Macaca fascicularis: one gene and its partners. The protein of the gene in region 2 purifies or fractionates together with the protein of the main gene of each other region. This does not show direct contact. Links are inferred from orthologs where the notes say so. Each region holds a gene or a part of one and is shown on either strand. Other genes may lie near its edges.

Region 1 (3,500 bases), on a different chromosome or scaffold from region 2:
TTTTTTTAAGCCAGTCAAATAGCAGTGGGGGGATTGTATACCAACTTTAGTGACACTGATTTTAGTAAGTTCTGATAACCCACTACTATCGGACCAGCCTGGAGCACATTACTTTGGCCAGTGGAAAGTCTCTTGGAGAGACTTTGAGGTTTGTGATAACAAATCATGCTATCACTAAAGTTAAATACATATATATATATATATATATATACTCCTAGAATATAAGCAGAATGGAAAAGTTGGCAAGGATGAATTAGAGCATTGGAGTGAATTTTTTTCATTACAGAATTGTTAGTTCCTTTAGGAACTTAGTCTCGTAGATGTATATATTTAATTAGCATAACTTGGACAGCACAAGATTAATGCTTTAACTTGTTTGCAGGAGTTTAAAAAGCTGGTTTCTGTTGCCAATAGTTGGTTGGAAGGGAAAATGGAGATGCCACAAATAAAATTTTTTGGATGTGCAAAACAGTTTTGATTTTATTTCTTACAAACTATAGGACTCCAAGCCCCCTGATCCTTGATCAGAACTACATTAACACCAAAAATCAAGTTATCAAAGCAGAGAGGAGGGTGCTAAAGGAGTTGGGATTTTGTGTTCATGTCAAGCATCCTCATAAGGTGAGTTGTAGAGTACAGAAATTGGGTTCGTAAGTATTAGGACTTTTATAAAAATTCTATTTTATATGAATTTATGTTTCTATCTGAGCATTAACCTTGGTTTTAAAAAGCATTCCTTTAAAGGTTCAGGCTTCATCGAAAAACATTCTTTTGGATGTTGAGATTTATCAGTAAAGTGACAGTCAAAAATGTAGATTCAAATCTTAAATCTTAATTGTGTGCTCATAGAGAAGTTATTTTTGTTTCTGTGGTTAAAGTCCCAGTTTTTCCACCTAGAATACAGAGATGTAAAGTTCCTCATTCCAAGGAATAAATGTGTAGCTACAAAAATGTCTGGCACACTTACTGTCATAGTAGAATGTTCTAAGTGTGTTGGCTGCTCACTGTTAGCATTATCGGAAATTTGTTTCTCCCAACATCTCTTAGCTTTCTCTTACCGCAATATAAGCGGTAGAGTGAGTTACCCAGGTCAGGACTACCTGGGCTAGAAATGTACCTTGGGAAATTAGGTGAAATAATCTAGCACAGTGCCCATCACATAGTAAAGTGCCAATGAAAAATACTCTTTTAGTTTCCTTTTTTTCCTGTACAATTCTGAAATGTACTTCTAAACAGAATTTATATAAAATCTAGTCATATAACAGTTCACAATAGAATCTTACGTACATTTAAATTGGTCTGTATTATCGATGCAGAATTATAACTTGAATCTAACATTTTCAATTACTTTTTTCATTGAACTCTACTCGGAAAGAACTACCAGTATACTAAATTGAGTTTTTTTCCCTTGTCCTTCAGATCATTGTTATGTATTTACAAGTCTTAGAATGTGAACGTAATCAAACCCTGGTTCAAACTGCCTGGTAAGTCACTTTTTTAGATTTCTTTCCTAGCCAGGAAAACAGAAGCAGAAATAAAGTAAGTTTCATTTTCCCTTTCCAAAATAATGAGATAAGTTTGTTTGGGGCTTTTTGTTGTTTTTTGTTTTTGTTTTTTTTTTTAACCAAAAGGTAAATAATGCTTATTTCTGCTTCCTGTTTTCTTGGCTTGACTAATTACTTTTAATGGAGAACTCAATTTAACTTTGTTCTTTTTTCTACTCTTTAATTAAAGGGTAGTCCATGATGGTAAGTCATAGAACTCTGCCCTCTGCACTTCAGCCCATGACCTCAGGATGGCCTGATTGGCTACCCTGCTCTCCAGCCAATCCAGTGCAAGCTCTCATCCGAGATTCACTGAAGTGGTCCATATCCATCTGGCAGCATCTTCTAGTTCTGTCGGGGTGTCAAAAGGATTTGTATATTTGCTTCTAGAAGTAACTATTTGACATGCCTATGTATTTAATGTATACTTGTAACTATCAAAATGAATAGTTCATTTTTGATAGATTTGTTGTCCAGCCATTATGAATTAAATGGTTTCTTATTAGGAGTTTGACTAAATTTTTATTTTTAGTATGTATAGCGTGAATTCTACCAAAGGAGACTACAAACTTGCAGCTTAAAATGGGAACCAGTTCCCACACTGGCTTAATTTATATAACTGCTATAACTGCTTGGCTGTATTGCGGGTAATATTAGAAGCAAGAAGCACTTCATTTTTAAAAGAGATGTTACTATTATATTGCTTAAATGCCTTAGCACTTGGACTTTTTGAGATGCAGATGTGTGATTTAGAGTGCTGGCTTATTTAAAGGTCAAGCCAAGGAGTTTGTGGATCAGCCACAACTACTGTTTCCTAAGACTATTGATGTGAAGGACTTAGTGAAGTAATTTTTATATTTTGGACTTCCCAGCAAGATGTCCTTTTAATGACTGCCATGCTTCTTTTGGACTCAGTAAATATTTGTAATGTTAGAAAAGTCTCATTACTTTTATAAAATGCATGACATTTTAAGTATGTGTTGCATAAAATGGATTATAGCAGTTCTCATGGTTTAGGATTTTTAAGAAATAGTCCATTTAATTTCAGCTTAACCTTTTAAATGACCTGTAAAATTTCTTTAATAGTTTAGGAATGTTGTGGGGAGGGTTCATTAATAAAAGTTCAGCAATTTTTTAACTGAAGTAGTTTATCTCTTTTACCTAGTCACAAAAAAGGTATGTAAACAAGGCCATTATATATGTTTATTGCTCTTTACTTCCCTATCTAGATTTTCTAAATATCTTAATTTCTTAATATAAGTTTAACTTGTTACCTACTGAAAATGCCTTTTTACCCCTGTTAACGGTATTTTGAGCTTTTGAAAAGAACTTGGTTGACACTGCTTTTATTGTGGATAAAGGAGAGATGGTCAGTAATTAATGGCTTGAAGTATTATTGGAGTGGTTTATCATTTCTGAAACTAATCATGTCAGAATTGACTTTGAAAGCATTGCTTTTTACAGAAATATATTAACTTTAGGAGTAATTTCTAGTTGGATTGTAATACGAAATAATTTAAAAGAGCTTCGCTCATATATAGGAAAATTGCAAATGGTCCTACTATTAAATTCTTACTGCTTACTGATTTTTTTGAATTAAGAGTTGTTATATGCTAGAATTTGAGGATGTGAATATAAATAAGAGAAGAAAAAAGAATAAAGTAGATTGAGTCTCCAATTTTATGTAAGCTTCAGAAGAACTGGTTTGTTTACATACAAGCTTATAGTTGAAATATTTTTCAGGAATTACATGAATGACAGTCTTCGAACCAATGTTTTTGTTCGATTTCAACCAGAGACTATAGCATGTGCTTGCATCTACCTTGCAGCTAGAGCACTTCAGGTAGGTGTATATTTCCCATTTTGTTCTGTAGGATAAATCACACAAATTTTCGGTGGTTCCAATACAGATTTAGCAAAAATTTAACCTAAACCATTCTGTTCTTATGGTTTAGA
Region 2 (3,984 bases):
GTGTTGCCGTGTAGCTTCCGTAACGCAAAATGGCGCTATTCTGATCAGCAGAGTTGACACAATCAAATAGCCACACGGCACGGAGACGCATGCGTGGCGACAACAACAACAAAAACCACCACCCACATTACTTGATGGCTCAGGCGTGCGCAAAGCTCCCGGTTCAGTTTCCCGCGCTGGAACTTTTCCAATAGTAAACGAGCAAAGCTCCGCGCGCCCAGGTGGCGCGAGCGCTAGGATCTGTCGGTTGGGGTCCTACTTTTACATAACGCCCCCACAATGCCCTTCGCCTTCCTCTACGTGGCCCCCGCTCCAAGCCCATTTTCTGGAGCTAGGAATCCACTCTCTGGGTTAGGAAAGGCCCTCAGGAGGCGGAGGGAAACCTGTGGAATGCCGAGAAGCCGTGTAATGAAATAACGTCACGCCTGCCCCTCACCATTACTCTGACCAGGGTTCGAAGGTCACACTTAGAGACTAAGGGGAAATGGAGAAGTGCAAGGGGACGAGCAGAATGGCTGGCACCACCTCAGGTTAGCGCACTGGGCCGTTCTGGTTCTCACCCAGCCCAGCCCAGCCCAGCCCAGCCCAGCCCAGCCCAGCCCAGCCCAGCCCTCCCAACCCAAGTCCCTACGCACGGAGCCAAGCCGCACCTCTCGCCTCATGAGGCCGGAGCCCGGAGTAAAACAGAAGGCCCGTCAAGGGTCTCTGGCGGGACTGACTCGCACTAGGGGCCCAACAGGCAATAAGGACCCAGCGCATTGGCCAAGGATAGGCCAGTCCCCAGGGAAGCAGCACCGCGTCGGGACTAGAGGGCAACTGTGAGGAGAGCTGCGAGGAGGGGTCCAGCCTGGCTCCCTCCTTTCCCCGCCCTAAGTCAGCTTCTTCGCCCAGTGAGCACACAACTGTATTGCCCAGGCTCCCAGGCCCCGAACGCCATACCTGGTTTCCGCTTCCGGTGGCTTCTCGTTGCGCCCCGCCCGCAAGCGTCCTCCTCCGGGGCTTCGTGACAGCCAGGTCGTGCGCGGGTCATCCTGGGATTGGTAGTTCGCTTTCCCTCACTTAGCCGGTTTCTCTCTCTACCGGGGACTCCGCGTCCCGGCATCCACCGCGGCACCTGACCCTTGGCGCTTGCGTGTTGCCCTCTTCCCCACCCTCCCCAATTTCCACTCCCCCCACCCCACTTCGCCTGCCGCGGTCGGGTCCGCGGCCTGCGCTGTAGCGGTCGCCGCCGTTCCTTCGAAGTAGCAACTTCCCTACCCCACCCCAGTCCTGGTCCCCGTCCAGCTGGTGAGTCTGAGGTCTTCGCTGCTCCTAGTCGCTTGTCGCTGGGAGCCGCACATGGGTCTCCGCACTTTGATATGGGGGCGGGGGGAGGAAGCAACCAGGTCCGGCAAGGAGGGAGAGGTGGCTTGAGGAGCGGAGGGGGGATGTGTGGAATCCGGTGAAAGGGACCTGACAGTCGCCCCCAACCCTTGAGAAAAGGAGGCGCCCGATTCTTGCTTGAGAGTGATAAACTTGGAAATCCTTGGGAAAGGCGCCGGGGTCGTGCAGAGACTTGCATTGGTACGGAGCCTGAGTCGAGGTCCCTGCCGGAGTTGACACAGAGAAGAGAGGGCCCTGGCTTTCGGGAGCTCCAGGGACGTGGGTCGGGCTGGTGGGTCAAAGTATCTGTTGGCTTCTTTCAAGTGGTGGGACCCCAAAGAATGTTTAACGTCAAAGAAAAGGGAACTGAGATGTAAATTGGAGGAGTTGGAGAGGAGTGCTTCAGAGTTTGGGATCCTTTAAGAAAGGGTGGTTCTAATGTGGGAGGAGGGAGGATACCCGAGGCAGGGAAGGAGAACTTGAGCTTTACTGACACTCTTTTTTTCAGCTGACGTGAAGATGAGCAGCTCAGAGGAGGTGTCCTGGATTTCCTGGTTCTGTGGGCTCCGTGGCAATGAATTCTTCTGTGAAGTGAGTTCTCTTCGACCTCCCTACTTGCTGGCTTCACATATCTTCCCACCAGATGTTCCTTCACGTATTCCACTTCTACACTGTTCTCTTACATACTACTTGAAAACTTCCCATCAACGAAGAGTCCCCTCAATAACCCCCGACGAACCTGTGCTAAAGTGGCAAAACTGGGGCCCAAGTTTCGACTCTGCCACCCTCCAGCAGGCAATTTGTGTCTTTTTCTTTATCTTTTTTTTGAGACTGGGTCTCACTGTGTCGCCCAGGCTGGAGTGTAGTGGTGCGATCTCGGCTCACTGCGACCTCTGCCCCCCAGGTTCAAGCGATTCTCCTGCTCCAGCCACCCAAGTAGCTGGGATTACAAGTACCCGCCACCACGCCCGGCTAATTTTTGGATTTTTAGTAGAGACAGGGTTTCACCATGTTGGCCAGGCTGGTCTCAAACTCCAGACCTCAGGTGATCTGCCCGCCTCAGCCTCCCAAAGTGCTGGGATTACAGGCATAAGCCATTGCGCCCAGCCTGTATCTTTTATTACTAAAGTTGTACTGCTAGTACCTGTCTCAGCTGGCTGTTAGGAAAATTGAAATGCTACGTATTGAAATGTTTTGTTCAGAAACCATGCCGTTCAGCTTCCATCCTCCTCAGCCAGCTGAGAGGACAAAACTGGTTCCTAGAGATGGAGTACAGGAGTAGGGACAGAGATCTTGAAAAGAATGTCTAAGAAAAAGATTGCTGTACCTGCTTATCCTTAGAAAAGAAAAGCCAAAGCTTTATGGGAGGGAGTATAGGTGAACTAGGGAGAGACGCAAGTACTTCTGCTGAGTTGGGAGTGAGAAACAAGCGGAACAGATGCAGTTGTGTTGATGATAAGGCATCAGTTAGAGCATTTTGCCCAGGTCAAAGATGGGGATTTTGATATGGGTTCCCTCTTGGCTTCCATGTCCCAACAGGTGGATGAAGACTACATCCAGGACAAATTTAATCTTACTGGACTCAATGAGCAGGTTCCTCACTATCGACAAGCTCTAGACATGATCTTGGACCTGGAGCCTGGTGAGGCACCCTCAGGGTTGTTTTGTGTGTGTGCATGCACTTTTTTTCTCTTCAAATCTATATTCACTTACTTGAATTTTGAAATTTCCTTTGGTTCTCTGATTTCTTTAACCCCAAATTCATGCTTTATTTTGATCCTCCACCTGACTGTGTCTAGTTTTGTGACGTATATCACTTGTTCCCATGTTTTCTAAATCCACAATTCAGATGTTTTCCAAAATATGTTTCCTCATGGGTCTGGTTTGCTATTTCTCCTGCTTTGCACCTTCCAGTCTAGAGTTTCATCTTTTGCATTGACATTGTTGCAGTTATGTATCGGGGAGGGAGCTGGGAGGGAGAGTGGGGAGCGGAGGCTAAAGAGGTGTGAAGAGAAGACAGAGCTGTCTTGGGTTGGCGCAAGGGTCAGAAGCCCAGGTTTCTGGGTCACATGCCCAGATGTTGGATGGGGTAAGGCCCAAAAGTAGGTGCCAGGCGAACTGAATAGCCCGCACCCCCTGGATATGGGCAGGGCACCTAGGAAAGCTGAAAAACAAGTGGTTGCATTTGGCCGGGCTGTGTTTCAGATGAAGAACTGGAAGACAACCCCAACCAGAGTGACCTGATTGAGCAGGCTGCCGAGATGCTTTATGGATTGATCCACGCCCGCTACATCCTTACCAACCGTGGCATTGCCCAGATGGTGAGGCCTCTCTGCTCCTAATTGCCTCCTTCTGAGCAGTAAGGGACACAGGTTCCTGCAGCAAGAAGTCATGTTTAAGCCTTGTTTAAGGAAACTGGCTGAGAAGAGGAGAAGAACCCCAGGCTTGGGCCTGGGAATTGAATTCTGATTGGGGGTCATCCTGAAGGGATAATTTTCAGGGAGGGAGACAGTCCTTGAACAGAGAGTTGTGATAGACTGCCTCTTCCTCAGGGAACAAACAACAAATGGCTCTGATGGTTTGTAGCCTGCCTAACTGGAAGAAAGGCAACATAGGAGTTTG
Region 3 (4,060 bases), on a different chromosome or scaffold from region 2:
CTGCTCCTCGGGAGCTGCTGGTAGTTGTCGTAATAAACACGGAACCCACGATGAAACGTGAAGACGCTCCTCAGTGAGCATCCTTGGGCAGTGCACAACCTCCCCAGCCATGCCAGCCCGCGCTCAGGCCTCCCCCGTCTTCCCCATCTCTCCGGTGTCGGTTCTCAAGCTCGTCCTTCCCCGCCTCATTCCTCCAAAAGTCCTCAGCAAATCCTGGCAACTCCGCCTTCAGCATCTACCGGGAGCGGGCACTTCCCACACCCGGGCCCCAGCCCCGGCAGCCCCTGCACCGGGCGCCCGCGGGTCTCTGGCGCCCGCTCTGGACGCCTCCCCAGCGCTCCCCGCAGCGGCCAGGGGGTCTCGCGAGCCTGCGCCTGCTCGGGACCCCCAGAGCCTCCCCGGGTGCGCTGCAGCCACGCGGGCCTGCGTCCCGAGGCCCGTACGGCTTCTGCGCGACATCCTCAGGGCCACCCGGCGCCAAATCCACACGGGACGGCACGGCCGCGTCCTGCCGAGCCCGCCTAGTTCGCCAGCGCGCACGTTTCACCGCGCCTGCTGCGGGACGGACAGACGTGTGGCTAGGTTGGAATAGCCGGCTCACTGAAGGCTCCCGCAGTGTTTGGTCAGAGGAGCGCGGCGCTAGTAGCAGCGGACGCCAGGACAGCCCTCCCCAGGGCTCCGGCCGCGCGCGGGCCTGCGAAGGGGCTGCGGGCAGGGGGGCGGGGTTGCAGTGCGGGGGCGGGGCTGCGAGGGTGGGGCGGGGCTGCGGAGCAGCGGGCGCCAGACGGGGCTGCGAGGGTGGGGGCGGGGCCGTGGGGCTGCGGGCCCGAGGCGGGGCGGGGCTGCGGGCGTGGGGGCGGAGCTGCGGGCGCGGGGTGGGGCGGGGCTGAGGGTGTGGGGGCGGGGCTACGTGCGTGGGGGCGGGGTGGGGCTGCGGGCCCGAGGAGACACAGGGCTGCGGGCGTGGGGGCGGAGCTGACGTACAGGAAGCAGCTCCCATTCGCTCTGGGCGGTGGGCGGAGATCCGGGCGGTACCAGCTGTCCCGGCCGCGGGGGGGGAGGGCCTCGACCAGCCCACGGTCGGGGGTTAAACAGTACGAGCTTTTCCAGGATACTGATCTCTCCGGGCAGCAGTCCTGCATTAGACAGTGTTTCCAAGGTGGAAGGGAAACCGTTTAAACGCCTCGAGATCCCTGGCTGCAGGGAGTGGTACCTTCCTCATTTCAGCCATTTATTTCCCGCTCTGGTCCCAGTGGTTCCAGTCAACGGGCGGGACGGGACGCAGGGGCCCGGAAGAGGCGCCGTGCACTTCCGGGTCGAAGAGCGCGCGGCGGCGGCGGCTGCGGCCGGGCCGGGCCTAGTAGCGACTCTCGGTCGGGCAGCGGCGGCGAGCCCTCAGGAGCGGCTGCGGGACGCGAGGTTTCCGGGTACGTGCGGCGGCCGCGCCGGCCCTGGGGTCCCTGCTCCTCCGGGCCGCGGGCCGCCTGTGGGCGCCACGCGCTTTGTCTGCGGCCTGCACCGTGGGGCGAGGCCTGCTCCGCGCTGGCCGCGGGCCGGGAGGGCGGGCGGGCGCGCGCGCTGGGAGGCCCCGCCGAGACTGGGAGGCCCGTGGCCTGCGGGCGGACGTCCGGGGCTTGCGGGGACGCGGCGGGAGCCCACCTGCCTCGCCCCGTGGCACCCACGCGCGTGCCCCCTGCGAGTCCGCCCTGCCGCGTTTGGAAGAGCGCTGTGACTTCGCTGCCTTGTTGCCAGCCTCTGTGCGTGGTTGCCTTCATGGGCTTCGAGCCTTGTCTGCATGTCCACAGGCCCGTGTGGCTGGCGGTTTTCCTATTCCTTAACTCTTGCAGTTCTCACAACAGCCCCTCTGGAGTAGGCATTGTTCCCGTTTTACCGATGAGGGGATTGGAGCCCAGAAAGGCTAAGTAACTGGCCCGCGCCACACAGTCGGGGAGGGGCAGAGCCGGCGGCCGGGTCCGCGCCAGCCCCGACTCCGACCGTGCTCTTTTTGACGCTGCTTGTGTTACCCCTTCTTTGGAGTTTCCGCGCTTTACTTGTTTCGACAACAGCAGAACAGCAGTCAGCTGGGTGAACCACATTGTGGCCTGTGGTCACTGGACAGGCTCTGAAGCTGAGCTGAGGTTTGACTTCGGGGTTGGCATACTTGACCTCTCTCCTGGACCACCCGGTTTTCTTTCTTATGGGAAGAATGTTAAGTCAGAGTACTAGTGGATGGATGACGCCTCAGCATCATGGCTACGACAAGCCTGGCCGTGGCCCTCAGCAGCGCTGTGTTCATCTCAGGCCCGCGGAGACCTTTGTTCATACCTGACTTTTTGACTATCATTGCAGTTTACAGTTTTGAGGTCTCCTAGCTGATACAGCAAATGGTGAATACAAGAATAAAAGTTGGCCTGAGTTGAGATGTTGGACTTGGCTGCAGGCTTGTTCAGTGCCTGAGATGGGCACTCAGGTTCGAGGACTGGCATGGAAAGGGATTGCAGGCACCCCGGACACCAAAGGCCCTTTTCATTCCTCAGTAACAATTGGGACTGCCAGTGCGTTGGTTCCCCTGAATTCGAAGAGAGAGAGAAATAGCGTTTCCGGTTTTCTTTTCCCCTTTAATCCCCCAATCTGGAGTCTAAGCAGGAGAACCACAGTGGTCCCTCCACCCCAGAGCTCTGCTAGCCCAGCCGAAGGTGGCCAACAGCTGGGAAGGGCTGTGGTCTTTTCTGCGGAAATGGCTTCCTGGCCTGTGGCCTGGGACACGGCAGAGGTGGATATGGGGAAGGGAAGATGTGGAGCTGGGGCTGCTGGTGCAACCAGGAGGTCCTAAACTAGGGGTTCCCATTAACCCGCATCCTGACTGCGGGGTTCTTGGTGGTCCCAAAATGTCTTGTTTCTGGTGGTTGTGCTGGAGGGTATCTGCAGAGACTTCCTGGGTTATTTTCTCGTCTTTGGCAAAATAACCCCTAGTTACTGTTGTGGGATACCCAGGAAAGGATGTTGTTCAGCCTCACATAACCTGAACCTTCCTGCTGCTGTGGTGGAGGATTGTAAGAGGCCCATGGAGGCTTCCCTCACCAGCTGTGGTAAAGTTCAAAGGCCTCAGGACTTAGCCCCACAGGTACACGGACTCGCAGAGTTCAGCCTCTTTCCTGAGCTGGTATTTCTGGCGAGCTCCTATGTGCCAAACCCCACATGGCCTCACTGGTCTCTTCTGGCAGCCCTGGGGCAGGCCCAGCCATTGCCTGTCGCCCTTCCTAACCCTTGGAGGTGGTCCTCAATCTCAGTGCATCAAGGGAGAAGCCAGGAGCTATTTGTTCACATATTATGGCTCACTGCAGCCTCAACCTCCTGAAGTGAAGTGATCTTTGCACCTCAGACTCCCAAGTAGCTGAGACTACAGGCGGTTTCCACCACACCTAGCTGGTTTTTAAATTTTTTTGTAGAGACAGGGTTTCGCCATGTTGCCCAGGCTGGTCTCCTAACTCGCAGGCTCAAGTGATCTGCCTGCCTCGGCCTCCCAAAGTGCTTGGATTACAGGCGTGAGCCACCGCACCGGCTAATTCACTTTTTTTTTTTTTTTTTTTTTTAAAGGAGACAGAGTGTCGCTCTGTCACCCAGGCTGGAGTGTAGTGGCGCGATCTCAGCTCACTGCAACCTCTGCCTGCCAGGTTTAAGCAATTCTCCTGCCTCAGCCTCCCGAGTGGCTGGGACTCAGGCGCATGCCACCACGCCCAGTTCATTTTTTGTATTTTGGTAGAGATGGGGTTTCATTGTGTTGCCTAGGCTGGTCTCGAACTCCTGAGCTCAGGCAATCTGCCCGTCTTGGCCTCCGAAAGTGTTAGGATGACAGGCGTGAGCCACCGCGCCCGGCTGCCGATTCACTTTTTTTTTTTGAGACGGGAGTCTCGCTGTGTCGCCCGGGCTGGAGTGCAGTGGTATGATCTCCACTCACTGCAAGCTCCACCTCCCAGGTTCATGCCATTCTCCTGCCTCAGCCTCCCGAGTAGCTGGGACTACAGGCACCTGCCACCGCGCCCGGCTAGTTTTTTGTATT
Region 4 (3,975 bases), on a different chromosome or scaffold from region 2:
CACCATGTTAGCCAGGATGGTCTCAATCCCCCGACCTCAGGTGATCTGCCCGACTTGGCCTCCCAAAGTGCTGGGTTTACAGGCATGAGCCGCCTCGCCCGGCCCGATAACGTTATTATTAACTAAAGTTGATACTTTATCCAGATTTCCTTAATTTTTACCTAATGTTCTTTTTTTAATTGCAGTGTCACACCCAGGATACCGTATTACATTGTCATGCCTCCTCAGGCTTCTCCTGGCTCTGAGTTTCTTATACTTCCCTTACCTTTGCTGATCTTAACAATTTTGAAGAATACTGGTCATGTACTCTGCAGAATGTCCCTCAATTAGGGTTTGTCTGATTTGTTTCTTATAATTAGACTGGGTTATGAGATTTGTTAGGAAAGTAGCATAAAGTGCCATTCTCATCATATATCAGTCCACATACTATCAACATGATTTAGCACATAGTCTTGATCACCTGGCTGAATTACTGTTTGCCAGGTTTCCCCACTGTAAAATCACTCATTTTCCCCTTTACAGATGTTGTACTTTTGGGAAGGAAGTCACTATGCACAGCCCACATTTAAGGAGGTGGAAGTTATGCTCCAGGATGGCTGTCTACATAAGTTATTTGAGATTCTTCTGTGGGGGATTTATCTCTTCTTCCTCATTCGTTAATTTATTCAATCACTTATTTATATCGGTATGGGCTCATGAATATTTCTTTTATACTTTGAGTTATAATCCAATATCACTTGTTTTATTGCTCAAGGCAATTTGTAATGTTCTGAGTAACTCAGTGAAGAACCACCCCTCCCAATGTTTGTACCAGCTCACAGGGTAGACGTCATTAAGATCCTTTTCTCTTCAACTTCATAGGCCCATTAAAAAGGTCAGAAAGCAAGGGGGAAGCTGACACCCCTGCCTAGCGCCCAATTTCTGGACGCCCATAAGGAAGATGAGGCCAGCATGCAGGGGTCTTTCCCCACATGGGCACCTCAACCCGTGAAACGCCCTTTCCCGGCCAGACCTTACTCAGCACCCCTCCTTGTCCCCTGCCCCATCTTCTGGCTTCCTGTGGCTCCGCCCACCACGGGGCGGAAGTGGGTGTGGCCACGGGCGGAAGCAATGGGTCAGGGGCCCAATCTTGCAGCCAGCCCCTCCCACTCGCCGCCGCCCCACCCCTCCGGCCCAGACCGGAAATGAGGTCAGAGAGGGAAGCCCTGGCGGTGAGAGTCGGCCCAAAAAGCGGCGGCCGTTGGAGGTGGCTGCGGCAGCTGGTGAGGGGGAGGAGTGGTTTTAGTGTTGGGGTCCTGGGGGCTAGTACCAGAGGGGATCGGAGCGCCAAGCCGCGGCTGAGCGGCTAAGGGCGTCTTGGGGCTGCGGCAGCTGGCCGGAGGGTGAGGGTGGTGGGGCCTTGCTTTTCAGGGCCCTTGTCACCATCCCTGGGGATGTGGGTCGGGCCGTCTTCGGGGCCACAGCCCCCTCTTCCTCTTTCTTCTTTCTGCCTCTCTGGGGCTGGCGGCAGCGTGAGGGCTTGGTGTCCCGAGCCATGGTCGCCCCAGCCCTCAGGGACGGGCCGGGGCGAGGTGGAGAGTCCTTCGAAACACAGTTTTTCTCACATATGTGGCCGTGTTGCGACCCCCGATCCCGGAGGGAGCTCAGTCGCCACGACTTGCATTTTTTCAGTTTCTGCCCTAGAAGAGCCGACCCCCGCCCCTGGTGAGCCCAAATGAGAAGTTGCCTCCTGCCTCTCCCACCTCCTACTCCGCCCCTCACTTCCACCCTGCTCCTGTTTCTCTTCTTACTTGCTGTCCACCAGCTGCCCTACCCGTTCCTTCCTGTGCGTGACTCAGCCTCATCTCTACCCGGGTGCGTGCCTGGACGCCGGGTCCTCTCGAGAGTGTGCACCCGCGACTGGAGATGGGGGGAGCCCTAGGGTTCTTCTGTCACCCACTGTTCGAATTACAGGCTTTGAGGCAGGAAAGGATTCTGCACAAGCATTCGACTACCAGTTGTTTGGTGACTTCGTTCCGTGTTCAAGTTTGTGCTATTCTGCCTGAGGTTTTTATTTGTTATTATTATTATTTTTTTGTATTTTAGTTGCCTGAGTTTTTAAAGCAGTAATTCTTTATTAGGGAAGTAGATTTAGGCATGCTGTTCCCACTTGTTTCTTTATTTTGGTCTTAGGGACAGTTGTCTCCCAAACCTCAATCATGGCATTTTAATCCACTTTTTTTTTTTTTTCCATTTTTTCCCCTTCTTTTCACAGCTGTTAATAAATCACTTCTTAATGCTTAAAAGAACTTGGTCTTGTTTAAATGTATGTGCCTTTGGACACTTTGAGAAGCTTCGTTTGTATGGTAGTTTTGGAAGTAGGTGTCACCATTGCTCCTACAGGTGTGGCAGATAAGCCCCAGGACTGTTTTCCTGTCTTTAAATTCATTGGCATAGGCACAGCGTGAAAACAGGTTTTAGAAAGCCCTTTGCAAAGTGAAAACTGAATGAATGGGAATATGGTGAGAGAGCGGCACCACATAGAATTTTAACATGATATTGAAATACTTTGGGCATAGAGGCAAGGGAAAAGTGCTAAAAGTTTAATGTGTATTTAATTAGCTGCTATACAAATTAAACATTTCCCCTTAAGAGGGAATTTTGAAGATTGTTCCTACTACTCTCATTTGTTGAAATGTTTGCCTCTGAAGTGACTCCTGAAGTGTGATGTTTGGTTTGAGGATAAACAGAAAAATAAGAAATTTTGGAAAGCAGTTCAGCCAGAAATCTTAGAAACTTCACCCTATCCCTGTCATTTCAGCTGCTGTTGTATCCTATTTTTGTGTGATTGTGTGGCACTGAAGCACATAACTAGGACGGACATTCGGACATTTATTTTCTGAAGAGTAGGAGAGGGGCTTAAAAATTGTTAATTATTCAAAAATATATGACCTACTGTATAAGGTTCTATACCTGGTAGCTTCCAGGTGGTAGTTGGTACCAGAATGGGTGCAAACTTAGTCTCTTCTCCATTCTGACTTCAAACCTGGCCACTACAATTTCTTGGATCATGAAAACTGCATTCTTCCTTAAAGGGTATCACTAAGTTGTCTTTCTGTTTCTTTCTGCCATGGTCATTGTCAGCAGTGACCCCAGGCCAAAGAACAGTTTTTCATTCATTCTCAATACCTCGATGAGACCGTGTCCTGCTCTGTGTTTCTGCAACTCTAGTGTGATTTTGAAGTTGTATGTTTTTCTACTCCTGTCTAGTGAGACAGCCTCTAATCTTTCTGGATCTCATCATTAGGTAATTCAGTGACAAGTTTAACTGGGGAAAAGTGAGAAGGATCTAGTCCCCCGAATTTGTTTTGGGTCCTGTCCCAGTTGTCATCTGGTGAGTAGGTTTTTGTGCTTAAGAATATGTTGACTTCAGGCGTTTAACAAGGGACAAAACATCTATTTTTAGTGGCTTTAGGAAGTGGTAGGAACAGAATCTAAGTGTAGCCAGATGAAAGGTGACTTATTTCATTTAGACAGGCAGTACTGTGGACTACCATGATCTGTTTCATCAAATTATTCCGAAACAACAGATCCTTTTCAGGCTTTCTTTTTCTTTTTCTTTTCTTTCTCCCCCCCACCCCCCGCCAAACTTCCTTTTGGCAGATGTGGCCTCATGGATGAGCTGGTACACGACTTAGCCTCAGCCTTGGAGCAGACATCTGAGCAGAATAAGCTTGGTGAGCTGTGGGAGGAGATGGCCCTGAGCCCCCGGCAGCAGAGGAGGCAGCTTCGGAAACGCCGAGGTCGGAAGCGTCGTTCTGACTTCACTCACCTGGCAGAGCATACCTGCTGCTACAGCGAGGCCTCTGAGTCAAGTCTGGATGAGGCCACTAAGGACTGTCGAGAAGTGGCTCCCGTGACCAATTTTAGTGACTCTGATGACACAATGGTGGCCAAACGACACCCAGCTCTCAATGCCATTGTTAAGAGTAAGCA
Region 5 (3,500 bases), on a different chromosome or scaffold from region 2:
CATTGAATTGTTTAATTCTCCCAGCAACCCAGTGAAATATAGCTGCTGTTGTTAACTTTCGTTTTTCAAAGGAAGAAACTAAGGCATAGTACATGTTGAACTGGGATGAAAATCCAAGTAGTCTGGCACCAAAATCTGACTCTTAACCATTGCCTTATGTTGCTTCTCTTATATAAAAACAGGAAAGAAAAAGTTGTTACTGTGACATTTCACATGTCCCTCTCCTGATCTTGTCTCAGTTGTTAACATCTATTAGGTGTACAAACCACTGGATAGGTTCTTCCTGTTGAGGTGATGGCTAAGTCCCATTTTTGTGTTCTTGGAATGTAAAATAATTTGAATGTTTTCATCTATTAGCAGAAATCAGAAATTGTGGACTAGAAAGCTGGGCTATGTCTGGAGGAGGTGGGGCAAGATTCAGAAGCTAGTTTTGTCTTTTTAAAAATATCTGTAGTAACTCACCTTTGATAAATATGTAAATATCTTCAGGCTCGTCAACCTCCCTTTATTCTCAAAAGTTTTACTTACCTTTTTTACACGTAAGACTATCTTGAAGGTGATATAACTGAAATGAATGGGCATTAGCAACCTGAAGTGTGCAGAACCGGTATTGTAGTCTGTATTCAAAATCTTAAATCCAGCTTTGATTTTCCTATAAAATGATCTTTTGATTCCCGGCCTTCAAAGAATAACCTGGCCTTGTGTTTTAGAGATAAAAGTATAACTTTGAGTTGGTGCAGAGATCACAGTGTAGTAGAACTTTATACCTGGAAGGATCTTAGTTGTTCTTAGTCCAGTTCTCATTTTACAGATGAAGACGTATGTTTAGAAAAAATGTGATTTGTCCAAGTTGTACAGCTAGTAAGAGAGAGAGTTATGACTAGAACAAGTCTTCTGACTCCTGGCCTATAATTCTTTGCACTATAAGTAGGCTTCCTGGAAATAGATGTTTCTAATATTTAATTTTCATTCATAGAGTACTATTTATAGTTTGCAGAATATTCTTAAAAATACAGATTTTAATAAAGGTATAGGTTACTTACTAATTGTATGTTGTGTATTAAATAGGAACCCTATAAGTATCTTTTTTAATAGTTACTCTTTCTCCTGTTTAATTATTTAGATCAAAAGGTCCCTTCAGCAAAGTTCGAACTGGCCCTGGAAGGGGTAGGAAACGAAAAATGACTCTTTCCAGCCAATCAGCATCATCATCATCAGAAGAAGGATATTTAGAACGGATAGATGGCTTGGACTTCTGCAGAGATAGCAGTGTCTCCTTGAAGTTCAACAAGAAAACCAAAGGGCTCATTGATGGCCTTACCAAATTTTTTACCCCTTCCCCTGATGGTCGGAAAGCTCGTGGGGAAGTGGTGGACTACTCTGAGCAATATCGAATCAGAAAGAGGGGCAACAGGAAATCAAGCACTTCAGATTGGCCCACAGGTAAGAGTTTAGAACAAACTTAGAAACAAATAGTATTCTGTACATGTATTATTTGGGATAACACTAATTATCTGTAATAGATTTATATTTGATTATAAAAAATTGGTTATATAATATAAGAACACATTAAAAAAACATATAGATGATACTGAGGTAGTAACTATGGCAGAAATTTAGAGGATGGAGATAAAGTTGCAGAATGGGACAACAGGAACTCTTAGGCAACAGGAAGCTGCTTTTTTATAGAAGCGCAGAGAATCTGCCTACAGAAACTTGGGGTGTAACCTTGAGGATTACTTTACATTTCATAAATTACTGAAGAAATCATATGGTGAATGTTGTGATGCCTGCTTATTCCAGGAAGGAAACTGGAAAGAATAGAGCTGGGTAAAATGCTGTTTATCTAAGCATAAAGAAAAGACCAAAATATATGCAGATGTGATGAGGTCATTGACTTTTCTACTTCAGATCTTGACAAATATAGTTGTAAGTCATGGATTGCACTTAAAAAGGGAGAGACAGAACGACAGCTCCAGGCTGCTTGTGTATCAGGCTAAGTTCCCTAGTTTTCAAAGTAGAAAACATCTATGGAGAGGACTTAATAATGTAGCAGATCATTCAAGTCAGAGGATAAGAATTTGATTAACTGTCTAATAAATTAAAGCTTAAAATAGCCTTATTGCTGAGCCTTGAATTTAGAGAAACTAACCCTGTGAAGGAAGTAGAAAGGGCTTGAAGAAAGTAGAATGAGAATGAACTCCTTTGGATCACAAAGGCCAGAGTTGTAGTGTCTCATCTACTGCAGGAGAATTCCCTGACCTTGGTTTCCTCCCTGAATGTCTCCTCGGTGAGTGAGAGTGTATTCACTGCTCTCATTCCTGCTTTCATAACTAGTTGATTGTCCAGTGCAGGAGAGAAAGTCCTTGTAATTGTTAGAGTCCCCTTTGTATGCTTTATTGATTGGTCTTTCACCATAGTGATGATCAGCTAATTACTCTTTAAGCATTCAAGACTCTTCATGTCTTTATCAGCCTGCAGATAAGCTCTGGGTCTGAGCATGTTTATCTAAGAAAATATGCAATCCGTTTAAACTTGGAAAGAATCTCAAAGTAAATCCTAATGAAAGACATTTTTGAATTAACCTTTTGTACTGGAGATGGTTTATTAGAAAAATTACTAGAAAGCTTTTGAAATAGAAATTGTTAGAGCAAATGTATCAAGTATATGGAGAACCAATATTGAATTTTAGGCAGTGGTGTGAGCATTTGCTTTAATAGGCTCTGTCATTTTCTTTATGAATTATAAAGTTTAACTACCGAATGCTGTATTAGAGAGGTGCCTGCATCATGCACTAGGGGGCGTTAAAGTCACATAGTACCTTTAGACTGTACTTTTTTCTTCCAGTTTGGGAATGTTGTCAACAGTGAGTCCTTGACCTTTTTCTTCTTGTGTTAGGTTAATAATAGATGGCCTATATGGGCAGTTGACTTGAGAAGAACTGTCACCAATTGGTCTTTTCAGCCATACTCATAAAAAGAGCAAATGAGCCCATCAGCAGTGTCATCTTCAACTGCAAAGGATAATGATCTGCATAATTCCCAAATAACTCTTTTCACTGGTTTTTTGCCCACTTGAGGAAGTTCCATCATTTTGTAGATAATTATCATACGTTTTCATATTTACCCAGATGATTATCATCTGTTATCCTCAGGTTTGTGGAGTTTGTGCTTTAAAAGGGCACCCAGAATGTGATGGGAGTTAGCACTTCTGACATCAGTTAAGGTAGCTCAAGAGGTTTTTTTGAACATTAATACATTAAACCTATACTAAAAGTGTCAAATTTATACTGTTTCAAAATGAAATTTATAATCCTTATACCATTTTTCTGTCTGCCTTTCTGTGTATTAAAATCTTTTAATGAAATTTAAATTTAGTTATATAATATTTTTAGGAAGCTTTAAGACAATTCAGGATTTCCACTATAAGGCAGATTTAATACATAAATATTATTTATTGAGTAGTATTCTTCTAGGAGTCAATTTAATGCTATATTCTTC
Region 6 (3,500 bases), on a different chromosome or scaffold from region 2:
ATCTTTTCCAGACTCTGGGCGTAGTTGCTCACACCTGTAATCCCAGCACTTTGGGAGGCTGAGGCGAGCAGATCGCTTGAAGCCAGGAGTTCGAGACCAGTCTGGCCAACATAGTGAAACCCAGTCTCTACTAAAAATACCAAAATTAACTGGGTTTGGTGGCATGTGCCTGTAATCCCGGCTACTTGGGTGGCTAAGGCACGAGAATCACTTGAACCTGGGAGGTGGAGGTTGCAGTGCATCAAAATTGTGCCACTGCACTCCAGCCTGGGTGACAGAGCAAGACTGTCTCAAAAGGAAAAAAAGAAAATATTTTCCTGGATAACTCTCTATGCTATCTTCAAATCTCCCAAATTTGCTGTAGATCAACCTTGTATCTCCCCCATTGTCCCCCAAATAGGTTATTATTGAGGGCTGCAGTTTCTAATATGGTAGCTAGTAGCCACATGTGGCTAATTAAATTTAAATTAATTAAAATTTAAAATGTAGTTTCTCAGTCACACTAGGCACATTTCAAATGTTGAGAAGCTGCATGTAGCTAGTGGCTATCATATTAGACTGTAAAGATAAAGAAAATTTCTATCATTTCAGGAAATTCAATGGGACAGCATTAATTTTGAATACCATTAACCCTATAATTCATTGATTTATTATATTCTTCAAATGAACTAGCTATTTTCTAGGCTCCGAGGGACTAGGATGTTGGTGTTGTAATGGCAATACACAATCAGAACAGATCAGATACAGTGCCTCAGAGGTATCCCGGAAAGCAAGAGGTATATACTGTGTACCTGAGAAGTAGAATTCCAGAATAAGTGAAAAAGGTCGTAGTGTCAACAGTTTTTCACTCAATTTCCTTTCAAATGAATCTTCTTTGTCACGTCTTACTCTTTTCAGATTCACCTGGCATTCCACCTAGTGCTAATGCACATCAGCTTTTTCGGGGGTTTAGTTTTGTTGCTATTACCTCAGATGATGAAAGCCAGGCTATGCAGACAGTTGGTGTACATTCAATTGTTCAGGTGAGTGGATGTCTAAATAATTTTAGATTTGGAATGTTGTAAGATATAGTTCATTCTGTGAATAGATTTTTTTCTACTGACTTCAAGTGAGCAATTTAAAATACATTTTAGACCGGGCACTGTGGCTCACACCCGTAATCCCAGCACTTTGGGAGGCCGAGGCAGGTGGATCACTTGAGGTCAGAAGTTCAAGACCAGCCTGGCCAACATGGTGAAACCCCTATCTCTACTAAAAATACAAAAATGAGTTGGGCATGGTGGCGCGTGCCTGTAATTCCAGGTATTCAGGAGGCTGAGGCACAAGAATCACTTGATTTGGAGGCAGAGGTTGCAGTAAGCGGAGGTCGCACCACTGCACTCCAGCCTGGGTGACAGAGTTGAAACTGTCTCAAAAAATAAAATAAAATACATTTTATATCATTAACTTTACTCTTAGCAATTTTTTTCATATGTCATTGAAAAGGTTGCAAGAACCCAAATCCTAGATACCTATGTGACTTGAGTTTTAGGCCAGGCACGGTAGCTCAAGCTTGTAATCCCAGCACTTTGGGAGGCCGAGGCAGGCAGATCACGAGGTTAGGAGTTCGAGACCAGCCTGTCCAACACAGTGAAACCCTGTCCCTACTAAAAATACAAAAATTAGCTGGACATGGTGATGCATGCCTATAATCCCAGCTACTCTGGAGGCCGAGGCAGGAGAATCGCTTGAATCCAAGAGGCAGAGGTTGCAGTGAGCCAAGATCCACCACTGTACTCCAGCCTGGGCAACAGAGCTAGACTCTGTCTCAGAAAAAAAAAAAAAGAAAGTAGAATTTTAAAAGAGTTGAGATAAACATGACGATGTTGTCTATGTCCTCTCCTGTGCCTAAAAAATGTTTTTCATGCTGAATTTGTTTCACCCTCTGCCTCCTTCAGGTCAGCTATGATGAATTAAGGTCTTCTGGTTCTTCAATGTCTTAGAACAAGAGTCGGCAGACTTTCTCTGTGAAGTGTTAGATAATACTTGAGGCTTTGTGGGCTATATGGGCTCTGTCACAACTACTCAACTCTGCTATGTATCTCAAAACAGCCACAGACAATACATAAACAAGTGGGCATGGCTGTGTGCCAATAAAACTTTATTTACACACACGGGCAATGAATCAGATTTGGCTCACTGGCCATAGTTTGGCAACCTTTGCCTTAGAAAGATACAAGAAATAAAAATGAACTCAAATCTTAAGTCATCTTTCTAATCAAAGGGAACTAGATATATCTTTTGAAGCACTGGATTGTTTTTAGGATATCATTTGTACTTGGATTTGCTTGATGTTTAAGTTGCTTTTGCTCTAAAGTTTTTTCATGAGTTATCCTGTTTTCCATTTTGTAGAAAAACAATTAAAACACTGGTTTCTAAGCAGAGCTCGTGTTGAAATAGTCTGTGCCATTTACTATGCAAGCACGTGAATGTATGGCAAGTTTTTAAATTATAAATTCTGTACCTAACATAGAAACCACAAACATATATATTCTACAGAATTCAAATTTTAACATACACAAAGCTCATAGGCATGGATGTCTCATATCAGTATAGCCAAGGGCAACACAACTTTCCTCAGCCTGTTTATGGAATCAATAAGTTGCTGTTCATCATCTACTGTATGTTATTAGTCCCTAACCCATGACCAGCTTCTTTAGCAGAAGTTGTGTAAGGCTATGACTTCAGGATGAAGAAAGGAGGGTGTGGCTACTGAAAGTCCAAAATGTCGGTAACAGGTATTGCTTGCAAATACATTATTTTTATTTAATCTTCACCATTACCCTCTGAGAAAATACAGGCTCAAAGTTACATAGCCTGTAAGTGGTGCATCTGAGACAAGAATTCAGATATTCTAATTCTGAATCCTCCTAAATCCTTTCCTTCTATACCATAGGTTTCAAATTTCACATTTGCAAAGGTGCCTGAAAACCTATAGCCAATTGGGGAGTGGAATAAGGCTGAATCACAGACAAAGATACAGGCTCCATTTCAAGTAGCTCCGCTTTTAAAGTCATATTTCTTGCTGTACATTTCATTGTAAACACTTCCAAAATCACTTGTTTGTAGAAGAATAAGTACTATAAAGATGTATTTTTATTCTTATTCATTTATATGTAGAGCTTCAACAATGCATGCTGAGGAACATACTTCCCTATTATAAAATGCACTAAAGGCATTATGGGACTCTTCACCAATTTATAATTTTTTGTAGCAGTTACACAGGAACAGTATTCAGTTTACTGATGGATATGAAGTAAAAGAAGATATTGGAGTTGGCTCCTACTCTGTTTGCAAGAGATGTATACATAAAGCTACAAACATGGAGTTTGCAGTGAAGGTAAATATTTTTTTAGTTAAAATGCAATTTGTACAGTTCTTGTTCATGCATGTCAGTACCAGTTAAAAATTACACTCCTCTTGTTGTTAAAAGTGCCTTTTGTTATGAAAAAGTTAAATAT
Region 7 (4,289 bases), on a different chromosome or scaffold from region 2:
AAAATATGCAAAGGCCATTCGCTGCAGGAAACTGACTTATTGGTATTAAACAGGAGAAGGGGCTGGGTGTGGTGGCTTACACTTGTAATCCTAGCACTTTGGGAGGCTGAGGCGGGTGGAGAACCTGAGGTCAGGAGTTCGAGACTAGCCTGGCCAACATGGTGAAACCCTGTCTCTACTAAAAAATATTAAAAATTAGCCGGGCGTGGTGGCATGCGCCTGTAATCCCAGCTACTCGGGAGGCTGAGGCAGGAGAATCGCTTGAACTGGGGGGGCAGAGGTTGCAGTGAGCCAAGATGGCGCCACTACACTCCAGTCTGGGTGACAGAGCAAGACTCTGTCTCAAGAAAAAAACAAAACAAAACAGAACAAAAAACAAAGAAACAACAATAACAACAAAAAACAGGAGAAGGACCCAAGATGGTATCTCAGTAGTCAGGGCAGTATTCCCACAGCATTGGTTAGATCAGACTGTCATGGAATCTTTTAAAAACTCAGTGTGTTAGTCCACATTCACTCATTCATTTTCGGACAGTTGTGATCTTAGTAGTGATTTTTTCTTTGCTTTTCTTTTTTTCCTGCAAGAGGCTGGGCTCTTGTCACTACCCCACAACCTCTCAAATCCCTTGAGGACTCAGGTAGCAGAAAGTAAATACATGAATGAACGAGTGAAATAACATATACAGATAAACTACTTAGCTAGCACACACTACGTTCTCAGTGATTCTCAATGAGGCAGTGGTGGCTGTGGTTAAGAAGTAAGCTCTGCCTGTGTTGTAATCCAACACTGCCACTTACTTGGATGTGTCATCTTGGGCAGGTCACTCTGTGCCTCAGTTTCCACCTTTGCAACTTGGGGCTAGTAATGCCATCCAACTCATAGGGTTGTTATGAGTTGTAAAGAGGATTCATTGAATTTAACCCATTTAAATGCAAAGTGCCTGGTATGTAATAGGCATTCAATAAAAGTTATTTTCTTTTCATAATTATTCTTGTAGTTAGGGATGAAAAACTCGCACTCCTGTAGGCAGTCAGAAAAAATGAGTGAAGTGGGGGAACTAATGGGCCTGGTCTGAAGGGGGATACTGATGTTTAGGGGAGTACGGACTCAGTAGTGTAAGATTTTCAGAATCTCCTCTTGACGGGTCTCATCCGAGGTTCCAGCACAGCTCTGTAAAGGTGAAAGCTTTATTATTATTATTTTTCTTCTCAAAACACTGCAGTGCTTTGGGTGAGCGCGGGTCCTTGGCCAGATCTTGAGTCGTGAGATGCGTCTTCAGCATCTCCTGCTTCTCCTTGGGAAGCCCTCTACCCGCCAGTTGGCCCGCGCCCTCCTCCCCGTTCTCGGGGTTCGATCCACCTCCTTTCCCCTACCCTCCTAAGGGCTGACTGCAAATCGGAGGGCGACTGCAGAGGCGGAATTCGGGGCAGAGCGGCGTCTCCCCTGCGGGCCCCGTCCCACCAGCAGGTGGCGGTCGATCTGCAAGGCCTGCAAGGTGCCCCGGCAGAAACTTGAGCAGATGTTGGTGCCGCTGCCCAAGAAGACCTCAGCCTAGTCTCCCCGAGCCCGGCTGAGTCTCCGCGAGCCCAGCTGTCCGCATCCGCGAAAAAGCGGGGAGAGAAGGGCGCGGGCCCTCCGGAGGCTGGAGCGACTCAAAGATTCAGACACCGCGAGCTGCTTTCGGAAGGGCTTCAGGAGGGGGTGAGTACTGAGCAGCGCACAGAAAAGGGAGCGCTGTCCTTTGTTGAAGGCATTGTCCTTGTCTTGCATTGAGTGGCTTTCACACACCCCGGGAAAGACATTTCTGGAAGGAGACAGTCTCAACAGAAGGAGGGAGCGCGGGAAAGAAGCCCGGGGAGCTGGCGCCTTTACGCCCCGCGGTCTGCAGCGGGAGGAGCGCGGGTTCCATCGCGCCAGATGGCGCTGTCTGGCTTTTCTCGGGCCTCGGGCGCCAGTCTCCAGAGGTCCCCGGCGCAGCAGCCTCTCTAGCCGGCCGACGCAGGCTCTGTGTTTCCGGGCGGAAGTGAGGCGCCGAGCGGAACGGCCTCTGGTGACATTTTCTTGGGGGCGGCGCGGACGACTGAAGGGACTTGGTGGTAGAGGCTGCGGAGGCGGCGAGGTTCACTTTGATCCCGGCAGGGGCTCTGACCGCGACCCTCTGCTCGCCGCCGGCGCTTGTTCCGAGGAGGAGAAGGCGGCGGTGGCCGTCGCGTCCTGAGTCACCGCAGCGGGGAGAGTCCCAGCCGGGGGGTCGGTGCGTGCCCCGACGGGGCGCGCGCGGAGCGAGCGAGGAGGCACGGAGTCGCAGCGGAGCGCAGGTGAGGCGGGAAGGGGCGCAGGGCCGCGGCCTGGCTACTGGTCGAGTTGCGGAGCCCGGGCTGCGTCCCAGGGATGCGTCGGGGCGAGTCGGAGGGCTGCGGGCCGCGGTGAGGGCTCTGCGGCGTCCGGACGCTGGGATCCTGGCGGGCCCGGCTGGTGGGCGCCGGGAACTCGCAGCCTGGACTGGCGTCTGACGCGGGGGCATCGCACCGCTCCAACCTCCTTGCTCGTCAGCCGCTGGTGACCCTAGCGTCCTCCCGGCCCGGCGGAGTTGGCTACGGCACCCCAAGCCCCCAGACGCTGGGGCCGGGTCGAGGCAAGTCCTTTTCCGTGGGGTACTAAGGAGAGGCTGGAGGTGCCGCAGTCCCCGGGCTGCGGGGGGAAGCGGCTTCACGGCGTTGGAGTTGTCTTCACGCAACTTTCTGGCTCCTAGGCCCGCCTGGGAAGCAGTGGCGGCAACTCCGCCAGCTCCGCGAGCCGGGGGTCTGGCGCCGATACCTGCCCCTGCAGTGGAGAGCTCCAGGGCTGCGGCCGCAGTGGCCTTGGAGGAGGGAGAAAAGGCTTTCTTAGGCTTGGCGCCGCCTGCCTCTCGGCGTTTCCACTACCTTCGGTCGGCAGGCGCCTCCGGTCAATGGGAGAGATGTGTCAGTCTCCAAAATTGACCGCTTCTGGGGAGTTCGTCAACTTTATTTCAAAACCGGTGAGGATGTACACTGACGAACCCGGCTTAAAGACTATCGCCTTTACGCAAGCCATTCATTCTCACTTTTAAATTGTCCGCCTACCCCCCACCCCACTCCGTCCCCGGCAGCCCCCATCACAAAATTGATGTTCGCAGGTTGAAGTAGAGAACATCGGTAGGAGCCCTCCCAGATAGATCCTTGAGCAGTTTCGGCTTGGATGGGTTTTTCGTTTTTTGCCTGACCTTTTGCTTTTTGAATCCTCCCACCCAGTAAAATTAAAATCCCACTGATAATACTTCGTCAAGGTTGGACTTCTTAATTACAAATACATCTGCCAATTTTGCTTAGGCTATTATTGTGTAGTATTGGGTACATGCTAACAGTTTGAATCACTCCCTTTCTTCTCTTGGGATATTTTAAGGATGGAAGCTATTAACTTTCTAATGTAGTTTTGCTGATCCTGGCAATCTAGATTCCTCCAGTAATCAGAGCATTGCCTTTTGGTTTAACAAGCATTTTTAGAGGCCTGCAATTGATAGTTACTACCTGATGTCCTGAGGAGTCACATCGCTATTTTATTTATTTATTTATTTATTTGAGACGGAGTCTGCTCTGTAGCCCAGGCTGGAGTTCAGTGGTGTGATCTCTGCTCACTGCAACCTCCGCCTCCCGGGTCCTGGTTCAAGCAATTATCCTGCCTCAGCCTCCCGAGTAGCTGGGATTACGGACACGAGCCACGCCCAGCTAATTTTTGTATTTTTAGTAGAGACGGGGTTTCACCACGTTGGCCAGGCTGCTCTTGAACTCCTGACCTCGTGATCCGCTCTCCTCAGCTTCCCAAAGTGCTGGAATTACAGGCGTGAGCCACCGCGCCCGGCCTGAATCAGATTTCTTAATGGGAAAAATTTTTTTTCTGACACATTTTTGGGAAAATTTTTTTTTCTGACACCTTTTTGTGAAAAATGGGATGGACTGGACATTGGAGCTGGAAACTTTCCCCATTGTTAGAATAAGTTCACAGTGTAGTTGTTACTTACTCACTTTATATTACTTTAACATGCATCTATTTGAGAGTAGCTGTCATAATCTTTGTTTTATGGTTATCATGATTAATTCAAAACCCATATAGTAAAGATAAATTCAGCTTTAGGTTCTAATTTAATGCAGTTCCTTTAGGACTGAGGGCTAATGCATGTCCTTCAAAGGTTTCTTGCTCCTAATGTTAATAGTGACATTGGTACTTTCAGTCTTTTTATTGTATGACTAGTAAATTCTGTGCGCTTGTG

Evidence for each region.
Region 1: the proteins of CSNK2B (region 2) and CCNL1 purify together in Homo sapiens (co-immunoprecipitation; 3 studies listed by BioGRID and IntAct, with this or other methods). This does not show direct contact. The link is inferred for Macaca fascicularis from reciprocal best matches to the Homo sapiens genes CSNK2B and CCNL1.
Region 3: the proteins of CSNK2B (region 2) and PHRF1 purify together in Homo sapiens (affinity purification with mass spectrometry; 3 studies listed by BioGRID and IntAct, with this or other methods). This does not show direct contact. The link is inferred for Macaca fascicularis from reciprocal best matches to the Homo sapiens genes CSNK2B and PHRF1.
Region 4: the proteins of CSNK2B (region 2) and GPATCH2L purify together in Homo sapiens (co-immunoprecipitation; 3 studies listed by BioGRID and IntAct, with this or other methods). This does not show direct contact. The link is inferred for Macaca fascicularis from reciprocal best matches to the Homo sapiens genes CSNK2B and GPATCH2L.
Region 5: the proteins of CSNK2B (region 2) and KAT6A purify together in Homo sapiens (affinity purification with mass spectrometry; 3 studies listed by BioGRID and IntAct, with this or other methods). This does not show direct contact. The link is inferred for Macaca fascicularis from reciprocal best matches to the Homo sapiens genes CSNK2B and KAT6A.
Region 6: the proteins of CSNK2B (region 2) and RPS6KA3 purify together in Homo sapiens (affinity purification with mass spectrometry; 5 studies listed by BioGRID and IntAct, with this or other methods). This does not show direct contact. The link is inferred for Macaca fascicularis from reciprocal best matches to the Homo sapiens genes CSNK2B and RPS6KA3.
Region 7: the proteins of CSNK2B (region 2) and ARK2N purify together in Homo sapiens (co-immunoprecipitation; 3 studies listed by BioGRID and IntAct, with this or other methods). This does not show direct contact. The link is inferred for Macaca fascicularis from reciprocal best matches to the Homo sapiens genes CSNK2B and ARK2N.

Annotation. Positions count from the first base shown.
Region 1 is NC_088376.1:60,118,865-60,122,364, reverse strand, and holds part of CCNL1 (cyclin-L1), read left to right. Parts: intron 1-500; coding exon 501-621; intron 622-1,419; coding exon 1,420-1,484; intron 1,485-1,734; exon of another isoform or gene 1,735-3,287; coding exon 3,288-3,387; intron 3,388-3,499; coding exon 3,500-3,500. UniProt on the Homo sapiens protein: Involved in pre-mRNA splicing. Functions in association with cyclin-dependent kinases (CDKs). Inhibited by the CDK-specific inhibitor CDKN1A/p21. May play a role in the regulation of RNA polymerase II (pol II).
Region 2 is NC_088378.1:140,054,121-140,058,104, reverse strand, and holds the start of CSNK2B (casein kinase II subunit beta), read left to right. Parts: upstream 1-1,184; 5' UTR 1,185-1,287; intron 1,288-1,870; 5' UTR 1,871-1,881; coding exon 1,882-1,953; intron 1,954-2,901; coding exon 2,902-3,004; intron 3,005-3,567; coding exon 3,568-3,683; intron 3,684-3,984. UniProt on the Homo sapiens protein: Regulatory subunit of casein kinase II/CK2.
Region 3 is NC_088388.1:473,208-477,267, forward strand, and holds the start of PHRF1 (PHD and RING finger domain-containing protein 1), read left to right. Parts: upstream 1-1,260; 5' UTR 1,261-1,427; intron 1,428-4,060.
Region 4 is NC_088381.1:144,121,254-144,125,228, forward strand, and holds the start of GPATCH2L (G patch domain-containing protein 2-like), read left to right. Parts: upstream 1-1,175; 5' UTR 1,176-1,184; coding exon 1,185-1,262; exon of another isoform or gene 1,263-1,374; intron 1,375-1,804; coding exon 1,805-1,854; exon of another isoform or gene 1,855-2,046; intron 2,047-3,642; coding exon 3,643-3,975.
Region 5 is NC_088382.1:45,478,714-45,482,213, reverse strand, and holds part of KAT6A (histone acetyltransferase KAT6A), read left to right. Parts: intron 1-1,123; coding exon 1,124-1,443; intron 1,444-3,500. UniProt on the Homo sapiens protein: Histone acetyltransferase that acetylates lysine residues in histone H3 and histone H4 (in vitro). Component of the MOZ/MORF complex which has a histone H3 acetyltransferase activity. May act as a transcriptional coactivator for RUNX1 and RUNX2.
Region 6 is NC_088395.1:20,038,703-20,042,202, reverse strand, and holds part of RPS6KA3 (ribosomal protein S6 kinase alpha-3), read left to right. Parts: intron 1-897; coding exon 898-1,022; intron 1,023-3,253; coding exon 3,254-3,379; intron 3,380-3,500. UniProt on the Homo sapiens protein: Serine/threonine-protein kinase that acts downstream of ERK (MAPK1/ERK2 and MAPK3/ERK1) signaling and mediates mitogenic and stress-induced activation of the transcription factors CREB1, ETV1/ER81 and NR4A1/NUR77, regulates translation through RPS6 and EIF4B phosphorylation, and mediates cellular proliferation, survival, and differentiation by modulating mTOR signaling and repressing pro-apoptotic function of BAD and DAPK1.
Region 7 is NC_088392.1:43,648,450-43,652,738, reverse strand, and holds the start of ARK2N (protein ARK2N), read left to right. Parts: upstream 1-1,489; 5' UTR 1,490-1,702; intron 1,703-2,053; exon of another isoform or gene 2,054-2,319; intron 2,320-4,289. UniProt on the Homo sapiens protein: AMPK substrate important for exercise capacity and skeletal muscle function.